Linked DNA regions of Caenorhabditis elegans. The protein of the gene in region 2 interacts with the protein of the main gene of each other region in a pairwise test. Each region holds a gene or a part of one and is shown on either strand. Other genes may lie near its edges.

Region 1 (3,762 bases), on a different chromosome or scaffold from region 2:
AATTTAACCGTCTCATCACGACCACCCGATATCAAGCATCCGCCTTGAGTAACTGCCAAAGCCTTTGTGTCGGATTTGTGGGCTTCAATAACATGGGAAATTGTGTACTGTGGCATCTGCAAAATAAATTCCACTTCAATTCGGCAAATTCTAAAACTCACACTTTCCGTTTCCATTGGCACGTCACCGAGACCGTCATCTGCCATTATCTGAAGAATAGCTTTTAATTAAAGTTAATCAACAAAAAAATATAACGAAATTGAGAAAAATCCGAAAAAGTTTTGATGACAAACTGCAAACGATGCTCCGAACTAACGCCACATGGAAGAGGATTTCTACGACCCCGCAGTAGGCAAATTTGCGGGAATTCAAAATTTAACACTGATAGGATGCAATTTTTTGGAGAAGGGCATTCAGATTCGCTTAAATAAATATTTGAAGTTTCACAGAACATCAAGACTTTGCAAAGAGTGTTAAAAATTCAATAATTAAAAATAAATAATACTTTTATCGGCAAACTTTTTTTAATTTAGTAGGTTTTTTGAGAGCGAAATTTACATCGCACTAGATAGTCTCGAAACAGGAGTGATACCTTTTTAATTCTTCAAAAAAAAAACAAGAAAGGAACCGAGTTTGATAGACAATTGATTTATTTTTGTCCTACGCAAGTATAAATGGGGAAACGGTGTTGGTTCATTATAAAACAACATAAAAACGCTAAAACAGCGATACCAATAGACTACAAACATTAAACGAAAGTTATTATTGCACACAACTAATCAATGAGTGGGGTGGATTCAAGAAGATTGATTATATTAAGGAATTATAGGTATATCACAATTATGACTCATGGCAACAATAAGGTTTAGTAAATTTTTTAAAGATAAAAATGCGATCTCAACTGGAAAAATGTGGATAAAACGTTGAGGGGCAGCAATTTCAGTCCTGGGAATCATGTAGACAGATTGCCGACCTGTCTGAAGATTGATTTACCGCTATCCGGAAGTCGTCCCATTCGCTGCAGAATGATGTACTCGTCGGCTGCTGGAAGTGTATCCTCCGTTGGCATTTCGTCGAATGGCCCAAGATACCGGGTTTGCGATCTGAAAATTTTAATATTTAAATTGAGCCTAAAAACAGCTAGAAAATCCAAACTCACTTGGCAAAGAACTCTCCAGGTGTCAGAAGACCACGGAAGAAGCGATTGAAGTCCTTTGGAATCGCACGAACTCCTGGCAATTGTGTCGGGGAGAGTGCTCGACGACGTGGCTGCCCATTGTCGATATTTCCTGCACGCATATTCTCTTGATTTATGCGATTTGCAGCGTCTTGTGCTGGTCTTCTGGCGTCATTGGCGTTCAATTGCCGCAATGGACGCCGCTCTGGAAGTCGAATCGGAGCCACACGGTTGACACGTGGCGGCGGTGTCCGTCTGATCGCTCTTCTGACGTCTGGTGATGGTTCACGTGGTGGCGGGCTTTGCGATCTTCTGCGGTCAAGCCTGAATAATCTTATTATAGAAACAATTATATAACATTTTGGGACAAACAATTCTCTCCATCCCTTTTCGCTGAGCTCCGAGGCTCTGGTCCATCCACTGGGGAAGATTTGGAATGGATCTGCAGGCGGGGGACACAGAATATCAGCTTCTACCTGAAAATATAAATATTGTAAACGAATTTTAATTCAAGAACTCACAGCACGCAACTGGTCCCAGCGATTTCCATGAAAATGCTCCATAATTAGTGTGTGAAATAGGTGAGAGGGAGAAAAAATGGGTCTGTGGAATGAATGACAAGCGAAAATTTAAATGAAAAAATCAGAATTTTCCCGCGCATAATTTTAATTTTCGACTGATACACTTTCATCGGTAAAATAGAGGCAGATCAATAAAATAAGTAGGTCGAAAATAATTGTTTTTGTTTTTTTTTAAACGCGCGCGCACAAATAGTTCAAACACGATGACGCAAAAATACACAGTTTCGCAGTTTTTTTAAATTTCTTTTGTTTTACAACACTCTTTTCTGAAAAATGTCAGATTTTGACGATTCTGATTCAGAATTTCAAGGATTTGAGCTAAGGTTTGTTTTATTTTAATAACTAATAATAATTCTAATATTAACTTTTACAGATCACCTCAGATCCATGTAAAAGAATTCTTGATAGTCGAAGAAGAAACTCCAAAAATCATCAAAAAGGAAGAGGTTCCAAGGAAGTTCGAATCCGAGTTTGTTGGCTCATTTCTGGGAGAAAGTCCAGTTGTACTTTCAAAAGAAACAGCGTTTGGAGAAGCTGGAGAGTCGGAAGTTCTGGATTGGGATGCCAGTACAGTTTTCAACAGCCTAGCTTGCCCTGAAAACAACCTGTGCGTTTTTTAAAAGTATACATTTTATAAAGAATTAAATTTGCCTTTTTCCAGAGAAAAGTCAGTATGCGTCATTCGTCTCCACGACGTCCTCACAAAATCCGAAATGGGAGTACACAAAATGAAGCGACAACTTATTCATTGCGGGTCGGTCTTGGAAATCAAACTTTTCATCAATTGTCAATTTTAAGACAGCTCCTTGATGAATATTCTCCTCAACAACGTCGTGATTTGGGCTTTGATGATTCTCAAAATGTGAAGAATCTTCTTCAAATGATCCGAGCGTTCCGGTCAACTGTTAAAATCATGCTGATCGACGTGGAGGATCTTCAGGACCAGATTACACAAGAAGCGCAAGATGAGACCCCAATTATATCCAAATTTTCGAAACTTTTATACGTTTCCGGTGCATTAGCCGTCATTCCTATTTGTTGGTTTATGTACCGCAGATTTTGTTAAGTTATCTTTTAAATCTTGAATAAAAATTTAAAAAAAACATATGTTTTATTAAAATTGCTCTTATTCGTAACTATGTACGGATTTATATATATTTTTTTAATTGTACAATTCGCTAAAATGACAGTAAACTACATTTGAAAATTTTATTTAAAAAGAAGCTAACGTCAGTAGCACACTTGTGTCCTGGCCACCTGTCTCTGTTGCCCTCCCATCCTTATCACAGATCACACTTCAAACATCAAACTTCTCAAGGCAGAACTCCTCCCAAATATCACCCGAATTTTTCTTCTCAAAACTTTTCGCCAGTCTCACAACCACGTGTTTCCCAGACCTTCAGTTAACTTCACTTCTCATTTTCCCTGATTTTCTGTCTGCGTCTCTATAAAAAGTAGACAAAAAATGCGAAAAAGAAACGTTTTTGTGTACTCAAGTTGTGACACACTCGCTCAGACTATTGGCTACTGATGGTTTTTAGTTTTTTTTTTGCTTTAGACAATTCTACCTCTAAAAATTAAGATTTTATAACAGTTTTCTAAATTTTTATTAGTTCAGTGAATTTATCATGATTTTTCTAGAGCCCCATCGGAATTAACATTGAAAATTTTACCCAGACGCGTTATTTTTGCAACTTTTGTACTAAAAATACAGAACCCGGTCTCGACACTGCAAAGTTTGTTAATTGAAAAAATATGTGTACCTTTAAAGAGTACTGTAGTTTTAAAATTTCGTTGCAGCAAAATTTTTATATTTTTTCTCGCATTAAACTTTAACTGTTTTTATTGTTTTGTTTTAGTTTTCTTGATAATATTTTGAAATACTTGAGATAATTGAAAAACTGTGAAAAAATCTATGAAAATCATACAGAAACGATAGTTTGAAATTACCGTACATTTTAAAAGCGCACTCCTCTTCGCGTTATTACGGGAACAATAAATCAT
Region 2 (4,915 bases):
ACATTGGTGACAAAATTTCTCGAAGAGAGAGATTCTGCACCAAGCCAAAGCGCATGCATCGGCAAAGTTGATAAATTTATACATACCAGTAGAATTCTCCGTAGTTGGAACGAGAGCCTGGGCTCTCCGGAGTTGGCTCCTTGGCATCTGCCGACGGAATATGAATTGTTCCGTCTCCTCCACCAGAGCTTCGAGTATCGTCGTGAGTCGACATTTTGAGCTTGTCTATAAAAGGAATAGAAAGATGAATCAAGACTTCTAACTACTGAAAGTGAGCAAAAAGGGTTCAAATTTTAAAAAAAATTGAATTTTTCTCAAACTATCTACAAGTCGGGTGCATTCTCAAAATTGCAACAGTCAAACATAAAGAAAACATATCAAGAGCACACATAAACCTTTTCTAGAAGATCGACGATTTTTCTGACGTTGACGGTCAAGAACCGATTCGGTTTCAGAAGGCGTCAATGGCCTAACAGAAACTTTTCCAGATATATGCGTCCACTTGCCAGCAACGATAGTTTCTGCACGAACAACTGGTGAGCAAGATCTGCTAGTTGAACTACTAGAATTAGCTGTCGGTGGTGAAACCGGGGATAGGGTTCGGAGCGCGTGTGATGATGGGTTGTGTAGATTATCTTCCGAAACCGACTCGCTCACAACTAGTTGACGACCTGGGGAGCTGCTATTCACGCCACAGCTGAAGAACATCCAATGGAGCACATCAGCATGCTGCAATAGTTATCTCCGCCAATGTTGAGGGGGAAAGCGAAATAAGGACGCCGGAATACGCAGCTTGGCAGCTTGCTTGAGGTTTTGGAAATTGTTTACGCGGAGGTCGTCTTTTCTCTATTTTTCGAGGAAGATGGCAACAGTTGGAATAGAGAGTGAAACTAGTCTGTTTTCATTCCACCTCATTGAAGTATGTGGTGGATGGAAAAAAGAAAAGGCGACGCTCTTTTCTTATGCCCCGAAAAACCTTGAAAAGATTGTTTAGAAAACTGCGGTAAACTTATGTTGAAAAAATGCGGTAAACTTATGTTGAAATTGAAATCGCAAGTGAACTTGAAGTTGAAATTTTTTGTTATTTTTTGTAACTGGAACTTACAAATTCACAATTATAGGAGAAATATTGAAGAAATAGTTAATCTCAGTTAATCTCAAATCTTCTTTGACTTAGTGTACGAGGAGGGCATGTTGCCAGAGAGAGCTAGAAAGCGAGAAAAGATGCGCGCTCTGGATGTTTTGAGTAGATCGAATTTCAAAAAAGAAAGTCGTGAAGAGTGTGAGCATTCGGTAGGTCGGAGGTCTTGTAAACACGTATTTTGTTTGCATGTTTCATTTGTTCGCCCCCCCTCCCATCCAATTTTTGACAAATATATACATGTACATATAAAAATGAGGCGGGAAGATTGAGCAGGAGAGAGAGAGGGCGCGCGGGTAAGCTGGAATCGTTATTTGTCGCATAGCAACCGGGGGAAGAGTCCAATAGAGTAAAGGTATGTACACTAGTCATGTGAATTTTGAAGTTGAAAATTTAGCTACTAGGAATTTTTAGTAGAGGAAAAGGCAGTGTCGAAAACAATCGAGAACACAAATTCTTCAATTGTTTTTGTTTTTCGAAAAATATTGAGCACACATTATTTTATTGCTCCAGTGACTAGTGACTATTGCATTTCCTATTTACCAAGTATAGTAAATATGACTTAAACAAGAGCTTCCTTGGAGTTTTCCACCGATTTCGAAGAGGAAAAAAAAGAGAAGGAAGGGTGGACAATTGCGACTTTTTTGCTGAGCGGGCTCGCGCGGATGGCCTGCTCTTTTTTTTTCATTCCCCTTTCTAGGCAAGAGGTAAACAAGTAAACAGAGTGTGAGCCAGAGAGATGGAGAAGAGCGAGTGGAGCACGACGACGACGACATCAACATTGCCCATCGCCACGGGCCACGCCTTCTTTGGAGTGGGGCGCGCGTACTCTGGTGGCTTGAGCCATCGATCTGGGAGGGCGCCCTCTCTGTGTTGTTGTCGACAACAACAAACGACCAGAACGAAATACGGAAGAGGGGAAGAAGACGACGTTGGCCGATCGTTGTGCTCCAGCAAGGACAAGACCGCGGTTGAGCCGTGCTCTCTCTCTCTCTCTCTCTCTCTCTCTCTCTCTCTCTCTCTCTCTCTCTCTCTCTTTCTCACTTCAATTCTGGGAAACTGCCTAATGATGGCTGCTATCTTTTTGAAAAGTTGCGTAAGAATGGTGGATGAGTAGTGGGAAGTTGTTTGGAAGTAGAGCTTGACTGAGTACTTATACGAACATCGTATACTTTTTCCTAGATTTAATTCCCTAAAAAAGTATAAATTTTGAGGAAACAACATTAGTTTTGAAAGACGGTCTCACACATAATCCTCTACACTCACTTCACACTTTTTGAATTTCGAAACAAAAAACATCGCGATAGTAAGGCGAACTGTTATTTTAACCCCCTTTGATTCCGCAACAAGCTTTTTGTTGATAAGGTGATGGAAATACCCTTATCTACTTCTCCACCCACTAACATTTGAACAAGAAAATTGCCGAAACAACACATATTATGTTTTTTCCTACTCACAGGGGACCGAATGTCGCCTAAAACATGGAACTCAAATTCTCTTTCGATTTATTTCTAGCGTTGAACGAGAAAATGAAAGAGGGAGAGAAAATGTGCCGACCTTCACGTTAGGAAAATAAGCTGCTGCCAAGCTGGATGATATATATGCATATGTCAATTCATTGGGGGGACCATGAATCAATTTTAGGAAAACCTTACCGGATTTGTGTTTTAGAAAAGAATAGAAAGGGCAGGTGATTGGCTGAGCTGCGAGCACAATGAAGAGAAAGTTTCTACCCTCGTTAAACAGATGCCGTTCTTCTTCTTCTCTTCTCGTCTGCTTCAATCGTTCACGTGTCTTTTTTCGTTGTTCCGCCGCTGCTGATTCTATGTCTTTGTCAAGCTTGCGCGACCAGAAGACAAAAAAGGAGTTCGCCGGTTGGCGCGTGTATGTGCACCCTGTCACTATTGATTTCTGGAGAGAATGTTTGTTGCTTTGGTTCAAAGAGTTGTTGTTGGATGGTGTGTGTGTGTGTGTGTGTGTGGCGAGAATTGCAAAAAAGGATAGCCGACACACACTAAAAAAGGAGGACAACTGGCTTGAAAGTTTGATGGGCATGTCGTCCTTTGCCCGGCTGGCATCATGTCCAAAAAAGTGACACGGACCACATACACGCACCAAAAAACGACCATTGTCAAGATTTTCCCGGGGATTTGGCGTTGCAGGGGTTTTATGCCCGTTTTGGAAATTGTTTTCAAAAGTTGGAAAAAACGGGAAGACTGCAACTGAAAGGACCTCAAAGGTGGAATAGCGTCAGTGGGGATTTTATCTAAATTTTTTATAATCATTCAAACAAATCAGATATCATAATAAAACACCTTTTCAACGTTTTAGGCAAAGTTCCAAATTGAATAAAAAATCAGTTTCTACGGTATGCTAGAATGTTTAAACACAAATAATTAAAGTCCAATTAGAGTAGAAAATTAGAAGAAATATGTTGTTATTTTACAATGATATTTTGGCATTTTGGCACCACATGAGCAGCTTTAAACCACTGAAGCCAATCCACCTTTAAGACAAAAAGTTTATCCCAAATTACATCTGGTCTTCAAAAACAAACAATTTTTCGTGGCATTTTTCAAATCGAACAAACCTAAAAGAATTGAAGGAGACGAGAGAATACTGGCTCTGGTTGCTATTCTAGGAAAGGTGCTGCTGGTTCGCACCCCGATTCGCCCATTGACTTTAATAGAATTGCTCTCTCGCTCAGTGTTGCCAATGTTTCGCTCACTCCTATAATTGCTACTCTCTTGGTCCGAAGCAATTGTGAGCCGCCGGTTTCCTTTGCGCCGCGCTGACCGCCGCCACTCATCGTATTTTTTCACGACACTCATTTTCGATTCTCAGAAAACAACATAGTCAATGACTTTTCTCTGCTCTCGAAATGGCAGCCAATTGAAATTGGTGTCGATGAAGGGAAAAAAGGCTCTCTAGTAGAGCAAAATGTTGTTGAAAACGTGCACATAAGGGAGACGAAAATAAGGTTGTCAAAGAATGCGAATTAGAAATTAAGTCGGTCGAAGAGCAAAAATTGCGACGAAGAAAATGTGGCAAGAATTTTGTAACGATGCACATTTATCCCATTCTGATGTGAAAATGACTCAAACGTATTACTCAAAACAACGAAAAATCCGCAGATCTTCTTGGATTACAAACTGAATGATTTGCGAAGTGTAATGATTCCCTTTGGCATAAGTGTATGTGTATGTATGTTGCCGTTACCGGTTTTTCGGGTCAATGGACTTTGAAAGAACAACACATCGCGGGGGAAAGAAGGACGATGAAATAATATTCAACTCGATGATGCGCTGCTGTTGTTGGAGGGCCTAGGTTGTTGGTAGTGTTGGCGCATGAGTGCTTAGCGTACTACTGAAATAATTATGTGTAGTCGTCGTCCATTTTCCTGCCGTAGATGTGTCGATTTGGCTGGTTATATGGTTATACAGGCGGACTTGGAAGAGGGGTGTCAAGTACATACAAATCCCGAAGCATATAGAATGCATGATATACATAAATGTTTACAATTTGATAGCCAAGACTAACTGATTACTTTTTGCAGGGATACCTGTCAGAAGTTGGAGCTTCACTTGTGGATGAGAAGCTCAAGCTGGGAATCGTACCACCAACCGGGGTGGTTGAACTGGCGGCTCCAACTTTCTACTATGACCGTATTGACCGGGCGAAAGCACGGACGAAGGAGAGAATTCAATCAAGATATCCAAATATTGGAAGACGATTTCATCGAATTGGACTACCGGAAAAGGTGAGCAATTTTTT

The links.
Region 1: the proteins of lfi-1 (region 2) and C05C10.5 interact in a two-hybrid assay, tested with the Caenorhabditis elegans proteins (one large-scale study listed by BioGRID).

Annotation. Positions count from the first base shown.
Region 1 is NC_003280.10:9,937,205-9,940,966, reverse strand, and holds C05C10.5 (uncharacterized protein), read right to left. Parts: upstream 1,928-3,762; 5' UTR 1,741-1,927; coding exon 1,699-1,740; coding exon of another isoform or gene 1,695-1,698; intron 1,654-1,694; coding exon 1,550-1,653; intron 1,502-1,549; coding exon 1,160-1,501; intron 1,104-1,159; coding exon 953-1,103; 3' UTR 535-952; downstream 1-534. Other genes in the region: ufd-3 (Ubiquitin fusion degradation protein 3 homolog), read right to left, coding at 1-116, 162-206; C05C10.7 (uncharacterized protein), read left to right, coding at 2,032-2,081, 2,132-2,365, 2,420-2,512, 2,557-2,824.
Region 2 is NC_003284.9:4,979,377-4,984,291, reverse strand, and holds the start of lfi-1 (Rootletin-like coiled-coil domain-containing protein), read right to left. Parts: upstream 3,053-4,915; 5' UTR 2,797-3,052; intron 730-2,796; 5' UTR 709-729; coding exon 396-708; intron 228-395; exon of another isoform or gene 226-227; coding exon 87-225; intron 1-86. Other genes in the region: ZC8.6 (Phosphatidylinositol 4-kinase type 2), read left to right, coding at 4,698-4,901.